Canis lupus familiaris: one gene and its partner. The protein of the gene in region 2 purifies or fractionates together with the protein of the main gene of each other region. This does not show direct contact. Links are inferred from orthologs where the notes say so. Each region holds a gene or a part of one and is shown on either strand. Other genes may lie near its edges.

Evidence for each region.
Region 1: the proteins of KIAA1522 (region 2) and WASF1 purify together in Homo sapiens (affinity purification with mass spectrometry; 3 studies listed by BioGRID and IntAct, with this or other methods). This does not show direct contact. The link is inferred for Canis lupus familiaris from reciprocal best matches to the Homo sapiens genes NHSL3 and WASF1.

What each region holds. Positions count from the first base shown.
Region 1 is NC_049233.1:67,248,680-67,253,060, forward strand, and holds the start of WASF1 (wiskott-Aldrich syndrome protein family member 1), read right to left. Parts: upstream 2,877-4,381; 5' UTR 2,637-2,876; intron 2,492-2,636; exon of another isoform or gene 2,288-2,491; intron 2,122-2,287; exon of another isoform or gene 2,018-2,121; intron 1-2,017. Other genes in the region: CDC40 (pre-mRNA-processing factor 17), read left to right, coding at 3,314-3,502.
Region 2 is NC_049223.1:67,961,837-67,965,641, reverse strand, and holds part of KIAA1522 (uncharacterized protein KIAA1522 homolog), read left to right. Parts: intron 1-918; coding exon 919-1,089; intron 1,090-1,169; coding exon 1,170-1,225; intron 1,226-1,505; coding exon 1,506-1,629; intron 1,630-2,239; coding exon 2,240-2,356; intron 2,357-2,446; coding exon 2,447-3,805. UniProt on the Homo sapiens protein: Able to directly activate the TNF-NFkappaB signaling pathway.

The DNA of each region.
Region 1 (4,381 bases), on a different chromosome or scaffold from region 2:
GGGCCATGTCATGTGCAAATATTTCAATTTCTGTTTTTTTTTTAACTTAATTCAAGATTCTACTTGTTTATTACCAAGCCATATAACTTTTTTTTCATTGATATAAACTACATCTATAGTTATAACTATAAATAGATATCAACTATAATGCCCATTAAATTTGCAATTAATAGAAACTCTTGATGAGAAACCTTTTTCAATATAGAGCCATGATTTCCCAAGCAAAATTCAATGTAAATCAGCCATTCTAAAATGCCACGGAATATCCTAATGACATCCTTGTACTTAACTCTGAAATATTTTCATCATCCATCAGTTAAAATACCTAAATTTTCCTTAAAAGCATTATGAAAACATCTATATTGAATTTATGCATACTCCTCAGTGACATAAATGAGTATTTTCTCCATTTACACATAAGGAAACTAAGGCACAGAGGTGTCCATTTTGTAAATTGCAAGGTCATTTCCTAACCAATCACCTGATACTACGCTATCAAGTTATATTATATGTGCGCCACTTCCAAATGCCATAAAACAATTACTGTATCTTAAAACAACTGCCTCTGCGATGCCTATGTGCAATTCTGTTTTATCCAGAGGGTTATGGCAACAAGCTTAAACAAGAGAAGCTGGAAGGGGAGGCTTACCAAAAGAACAAACAAAAAACAAAAACAACAACAACAACAACAACAAAAAAAACACTTATTTTTGGTAGTGAATCATTTATTTTTAAGGAAGGAGAGGTAGACAGTTTTTAACATCATAATCACGTAACCAACAGTTGTTCCTTCCATTTTCAGAAACATATTCCATCTTTCAGGTAGATGGTGCAAAACTGGAGCCTGCCCATCCTTGGAGAGAGAAGTTAGAAAAAAAAAAAGAGAGAGAGAGAGAGAGAGACAGAGACAGAAAATATCCTAACAGCAAGTCATGTTAAATACATGATATTGCAAAGAACTGAATAAATGAAAATAAAATAAAATTAGAGGAATTAGCAAATGCTCATTATTGGCAGTTGAAAAACCCCCACCTTCAATATGAAAGGCTTCCTTTCATTCAACTGAAGGCTAGGATCAGCAATAAAATATTCTATTACTGAAAAACAACCAAACACCAAAACTTTTCTCATTCAAGACTCCAGAAGACTGTAGATCATAGTCCTTTCTTCCAACACTCGCCGTAAAATAAAAAATACTTTGCTAACACAAAGTCAAGCACCTGGGTGGGGGGTGGGGGTGGGGGGGAGAAACCGCTCCTGGGAGCAGAGGCAAGCCTGCGTTTCTAATTATGCGATAGTACTACCAGCCCTTAGATGGAAGTTGCCCCCCGCGCACACTGAAGGTGGGCACAGGAGACGGGGCGGATGACCCACACATCAGTTACCGCACGAGAAACAGGACTTAACGGGTCCGCGGATCCACCACCGAAGACGACGTTAAATTGTGAGCCGAGGCTCCCCTCCTGCGGAAACGGGGTGGGGGGGGGGGGGCGGCGGGATGAGACCGGGTCCTATTCGAGCGTCTCGCTAGCCGGGGGTTAGCTAGATCAATTAATCGGCTGGATTAATCGGCGCCAGGCTGTGAAGGTTCGGGCCGGGATGGGATGCGCTTTCGGTCGCGTCCTCCTTCCGCGCGCATCCCCCGGCGAGCGCCTGCGGGCGGCGGCGTCGGAGCACACCGAAGCTAGGGGGCACGCTGTAGCCAGGGGAAAACAGAAATGGGAAGAAAAAGGTGCAATGGATGGATGCTGCAGAGTTGAATAATGATCCGGGCGGCACAATGGGCGAGTCGGGCCGACGTCGGGGCGGAGGGGCGGGCGGCCCCGGGGCGTCGCCTTACCTCTCGGTCCGTGACAGAAAGACGCGCGGCGCCCACACGCAAACGCACCGGCCGGCTGCGCGGAGCCTCCCGCACGTCGCGCGAGCCCGGGCTCCTCGCCCCCGCCCCCGCCCCCGCCCCACCCCCGGGGCCGCAGGGGGTGCCCGGCAGCCCAGGTGACACCTGCAGTGTCCCCACCTCGGGCGGCCTCGGGCGGCCGCCGTCTCCCTCGGCGTCTCCCTCGGCGTCTCCCTCAGCCCCCGGCGCGGCTGGCGGGTGGGCGGCCGGAGCTCCGGAAACCCGCGGCCGGGGGGGGGGTGGGGGGCGGGGGCGGCGCGCCCATCCCCGTCACCTTTACCGGGCGGGAGCGCCACACACACACCTCCGCGCGTTCCGGCCGGTGAGGAGGAGTTCCTCCCGCGGCAGCGCCCGCCCCCGAAACACAATTCCTGAGAGACTCGCGCTCACCGTGAAATCATGGGGGGCGGGGGGGCTTCTGCCTTACCCCGTCTTCATGCTTCGGTCCCCCCTCGGCCGCCGCGACTCCACCTCAGAGCCTCCAGGAGCGACGGGCTCCGGAGCGGAACGGGCTCCGGGCTCCCGGGAACGCCGCCGCGCCGCCGGACCCACCGTGTGCTCGACGCGCGAGCGAACAACGCCGCGAGCCGCCGCCGCCGCCGCCGCCGCCCCCCACCCGCCCCCTCCCCGCGCGCGACGCTCCACAACCGGGCGCGGCGATCCGCGCCTGCAGCGGGGGAGGGCGGGGGGGGCGACCGCGGGACCTCGGCACCTAATCTCCCGTCCCTCCCATCAGGACCTATTCTCCACCACTCAAGGGCTTCCAACTCAAGCTCCTCACTGTCCTCTTCAGCTCCCAGCGCCCGGGTGCCGCCGCGGTGGAGAACTCGGCCTCCGCCCCCTCAGCCGGCGCACGGCAGGAAGACGGCTTCCCCCCCCATTTCCCGAGGCTCTATGGTACTGCCCGATCCTCAATTTGGGGGAAGGGGATGGAGAGAACAGCGCTCGGCCCGGGAGTGAGGGAAGAGGAGAGCCAATTGAATGAACCCTCCGTCCGGGGGCGGGGCCGCGGAGAGGCCCGCCCACTTGGCCCCGCCCAGTCCCTCCCTCCGAACTACACTTCCCACTGCGCCTCTGCCAACTTCCCGCCGCGCTGCCCGCCGGGAGTGTAGGACCTGGCTGCCTCGAGGCACTTCGGGACTCGTAGTCTTTCGTCTGGCCACGTAGGTCCTGGAAGTTTTTAGGGACTGTAGAATTTTTCCTTTAATTTCCCTAGATAAGCGCTTCCGTGTTCTCAGCCCTCTTGTGCGTCTTCGAATACCACGTTGTGTACATCTTAAAATGCCGTAAGTGAGTTGTTAGCGAAGGAAGTAAAATAACGTGTGTGTGTGTGTATAATCCGTCAGGTCATCTGTCAGGACCTGGAAGCCGCTTCTTCCGCCCGGGCCTGGTCTCCGCAGAGGGTCTGTCGCCGTCATGTCGGCTGCGATTGCAGCTCTGGCTGCGTCCTACGGCTCGGGCTCAGGGTCCGAATCGGACTCGGACAGTGAGGGCGGGCGGTGTTGCCTGCCAGCCGCCGACTCGCTCATGCACCTGACGAAGTCGGCTTCGACCAAGCCCTCTCTGGCAGTGGCGGTGGACTCGGCTCCGGAGGTGGCAGTTAAGGTAAGCTCTGGGGCCCCCGAGGCAGTGCGTGCGGGACTTGCCCGCTTCTGCCGCGGCCATCGTCAGGCCCCGCGTTGCCTCCTCCGCGGGGCTGAGGTAGAAGTCGCCCGCGCTCGGATCTCTCCTCTTCCTCCTGCCGGCGTGGTCCTCGGGGGGGAGCCGGGGCTCGGAAGTTGCCCTCCGCTCTCCGGCCGCTCCCGGCTTTCGCCTCCCGCCACCGAGCGAGGGTGAGGGGTGGGGGTGGGGGGGCGTGAACGTTGAATTTATTGTGACCAGGACGTGGCCTGGGTGGCGCAGGTGTGAATCGGAACTTCCCAAACTAGCCTCCCGTCGAGGTGCGCGCTGGCGCGGCTTTGTTGCTGAGGTCAGAGCTGGATTCTGATCGCAGCTCCGCCACGTCTGTGAACTTGGGCAAGTCCTGCAAACCTCCGCTGTTCCATCACCCGGCCGGCGGGGCTACGTTTAGAAGTGCGTTCTCTCTCCGAGAGCGTTGTGTAAAAATTAAGTGAAATGATAACGATTGTAGCGTCTACTGAAAGTGCCATAAATGTCAGTTTACCCCCTTGTGATTATAGGTATGTGTGTAGGTACGTCTATGTATATATTTTTTAAAGATTTTATTTATTTATTTATTCATAATATACATATATATATATATAGAGAGAGAGAGAGACAGAGAGAGAGAGACAGAGGGAGAAGCAGGCTCCATGCAGGGAGCCTGACGTGGGACTCGATCCCGGGTCTCCAGGGTCACGCCCTAGGCCGAAGGCAGACACTGAACCGCTGAGCCACTCAGGGATCCCCTATGTGTATTTTTGTACTCAGACGTATAGTAACACAGCGAGAAAAGGCCGTGCTGGGTCCCAGGTGGGGAAAGTG
Region 2 (3,805 bases):
CTTTGTAATGGATCCCTGGCTCCTGTGCACTGGGGGCTGGGGCCTCCAGGAGTGGGGGAATGCCTGGGACTGTTCTCCCAAGAGAGGCTAGAGCTGCCTTGTCTGGGGGTAGAAGGCCCCTGGGGCCTTCTCCTCTCCCCTGCCCATCCTTCCACTAAGGGACAGCCACATGGGTGAGTATGGGACACAGAGGCCATGTCCCTGGTTTGTCCCTCCTCCCAGGACTTCCTGGGAATTCTGGTCATGACCCCTGCTGGCCTCTACCCCTTTCTAGTGTCCCACAGTGTCTTCCTGGGCCTGGGCCAAGGGGGTATAGGAAGGGGGTTGTTTGTTTTCCATAAAGTGGAGCTTGGCATGTGCGAGACAAGAGAAATATACTTGCTATGGGCCATACGTATATGGGGTGCTTTGCGTCAGGCCCTGAGTGATGTGCCAGTACAGTTGTGTGTATATCTGGGTACTGTTTGAGTATGTACAGAATGGGGACTGTGGATATTGTGTATATATGTAGGGGCTAGGTGTGTTCTGTGGGACCCCCTGTTTGATGTTGGTTTCCAGATGTATTTATACTTGGGTGCTGTTTATTTGTGTACATCCTGAAACCTGTGGGTGTTGTGTGCATATATGGTGGGGTGGTGTGCCCTGGGTATATGACCTGTATGGGGTCCTTTGTGTGGTGTGGGTACTCAGATAAAAGTGTGCTTGGGGATAGTTTGTATGTGTATGCAGGGGTTGTGTGTACTGAGTGTGTAACTGAGAACTGTGAGTTGTGTGTACAGATTGGGGGAAGTAGTCTTTGCCTGTCTGTGCAGGGCTGTGTGCAGTCTCAGGATCAGGGGTGCCGTTGTTGTGGTGCCTGGTACCTCCAGGACCCAGATGCCCTCGGGCCTCACTTGTCTTCCTTCTTCATTCCACTAGGCTCTGCCAAGGCTGAGAGTGACAAACGTCTAAGTGCAGGGCCTGGCCAGGGGCCAGGGTCTATCGTGGATGAGCACCAGGACAATGTCTTCTTCCCCAGTGGGCGACCGCCTCACCTGGAAGAGCTGCACACACAGGCCCAGGAGGGGCTCCGTTCCCTCCAACACCAAGGTAACCTCCTTCCTTCCAGTACAGCTCTTGGCTCCCAAGGTCAGGGGCCTGGCTCAACACACTTTTCTGGTGTCTTCCAGAAAAACAGAAACTGAATAAGGGTGGCTGGGACCATGGAGACACCCAGAGCATCCAGGTGAGCCCTGCCCCCAGCTCAGTCCTGACTCTGCTTTTCCCTCCATGGTTAATTTCTGGCAAATAGGTCTCTGAACCCTTTTGGATTTCCATTTCCTTCTTGTATCCTGAAGGGCTAGACTAGATGACTCCTAAGGGCCAGGCCAGCTGATGTCTGCTCAGTGCTAGGTGAGGCCAGGGAGAGTTGGAGTCAAAAGCTGCCCCAAAGGGGCAAAAGCAAGAGGCCTACATAGGCTTCTGGGCTGGTCTGATACCGGGGCCTCATCTCCTTCCACCAACAGTCTTCCCGGATCGGGCAGGATGAGGATAGCATCTCCTTCTGCAGTCAGACCACATCCTACACAGCCGAGAGCTCCACAGCAGAGGATGCGCTCTCCATCCGCTCGGAGATGATCCAGCGCAAAGGTGTCTGCTCACCAGCCCACATTCTTGGACAAGGCGGGGTGGGGTGGGGTGGGTGGGCATGATCTGGGGTCCTAGCCCCTGCAGCTTTCCTCTTTTCCTCCTAATCTGGCACCCTCCTGTCCAGGCTCTGTGAGTCAGTGAATTCAGGAAACGCAGTATCCTGCGTCTTCTTGGAGACTCATGACACACACACACAGACCACAAAGCTGGACAGTTAGGAGTCAGGAAACCTGGGTTTGAGCCTGATGTTGCTACGTCGCAGCTGGGTGACCTGGGGCCAACCTATAACCACTCTGATCTTCCGTTTGATGTTCTATAAAAATGAGAATAAGAGTACTTGCATTAGCAGAATGAATGCCAAATGTTTGGCATGCTAACACATAATAATTGTTCACTAAGTGGAAATTATCCTTGGCCTAGTAAAGCCTTCCAGCAGTCTTACAGTAAAGAAGTGTCTAGCTTTGTTTAACCTAGCTTTGCCCACGCCTACTTGATTATGGAAATCTTTTTTTGCAGAGCTCTTGTTAGTTATTCTGCGAAAGCAGTGCTCTGCAAAATGTGCCCTGAGACCTGCTCTCTAATGGTTTCTCTCCCCTGGACTGGCCCCCAGGCTCTACCTTCCGACCTCATGACTCATTTTCCAAATCATCCGGGAAGTCAGGGCGGCGGCGGCGTGAGAGACGGAGCACGGTCCTGGGGCTGCCTCAGCACGTGCAGAAGGAACTCGGTGAGCCCCAGAGTAGGAGGGTCGCAGGGGGGTGTGGGGACCTCCGGCCCAACCCTCTGCTGACTCATATGTCCTCCCTGTCCCATGCAGGCCTGCGGAATGAGCGTGAGGCACCGGGTACCCCTCGGCCTCCTGGTCCCCGGGATGCCGTCCGCATCCCCACAGTGGATGGCCGCCCAGCAGGCCCAGCCTCGGGGACAGGGGCCCGGGTGTCCCTGCAGGCGCTGGAGGCACAGGCTGAGGCTGGTGCCGAGGCAGAGGCCATGCTGCAGCGCCACATTGACCGTATCTACCGGGATGACACCCTCGTTGGTCGGTCCACGGGGGCCCGGCCCCCACCGGTGACCCGGCCCATGTCCTTAGCGGTGCCTGGACTCACAGGAGGGGCAGGGCCTCCAGAGCCCCTGAGCCCAGCCATGTCCATCTCGCCCCAGGCCACCTACTTGTCAAAACTGATCCCAGATGCTGTCCTGCCGCCCACAGTGGACGTGGTGGCCCTGGGCCGCTGCAGCCTGCGCACATTGAGCCGCTGCAGCTTGCTGTCAGCCAGCCCTGCCTCTGTCCGCTCGCTGGGCCGCTTCTCCTCGGCCTCCAGTCCGCGGCCCCGCAGCCGCCACCCTTCCTCCTCCAGTGACACTTGGAGCCACTCTCAGTCCTCTGAGACGATCGTGTCTGATGGCTCCACCCTCTCCTCCAAGGGTGGCTCTGAGGGTGGGCTTGAGGGCTCTGTGGGTTGCAATAGTGCAGCTCCCCCTCCACAGGGGGGCAGTGGGAGGGGCTCCCCCAGTGGGGGCAGCACTGCTGAGGCCTCAGATACAGTCAGCATTCGGAGCAGTGGGCAGTTGTCTGGCCGGAGTGTGTCCCTACGTAAGCTGAAGCGGCCCCCGCCTCCTCCCCGCCGGACCTACTCACTCCATCAGCGGGGCTTGGCCTCACCTGATGGGCCCTTGGGGTTGCCACCCAAGCCTGAGCGGAAGCAGCAGCCGCAGGTGCCCCGGCCGCCCACCACTGGTGGGTCAGAGGGGGTGGGGTCAGCCCCCTGTCCCCCCAACTCAGCAGGCCCCTGGGTGCCTGGCTTGTCTCCAGGTGGCTCCCGGCGTCCCCCACGCTCCCCAGAACGGACGCTCTCACCCTCCAGCGGGTACTCGAGCCAAAGCGGTACCCCTACCCTCCCTCCCAAGGGCCTAGCAGGGGCCCCTGCTTCCCCAGGCAAGGCCCAGCCCCCTAAGCCAGAGCGGGTCACTTCCCTTCGGTCTCCTGGGGCCTCTGTCTCCTCCTCCCTCACGTCCCTCTGTTCCTCATCCTCTGACCCAGCCCCCTCAGATCGTTCTGGTACACAGATGTCGACCGCTCTGGGTGACAGGTTTGCCATACCTCCTCACCCCAAGGTGCCTGCCCCCTTCTCTCCACCCCCTTCCAAGTCCAAGAGCCCTAACCAAGCTGCCCCGG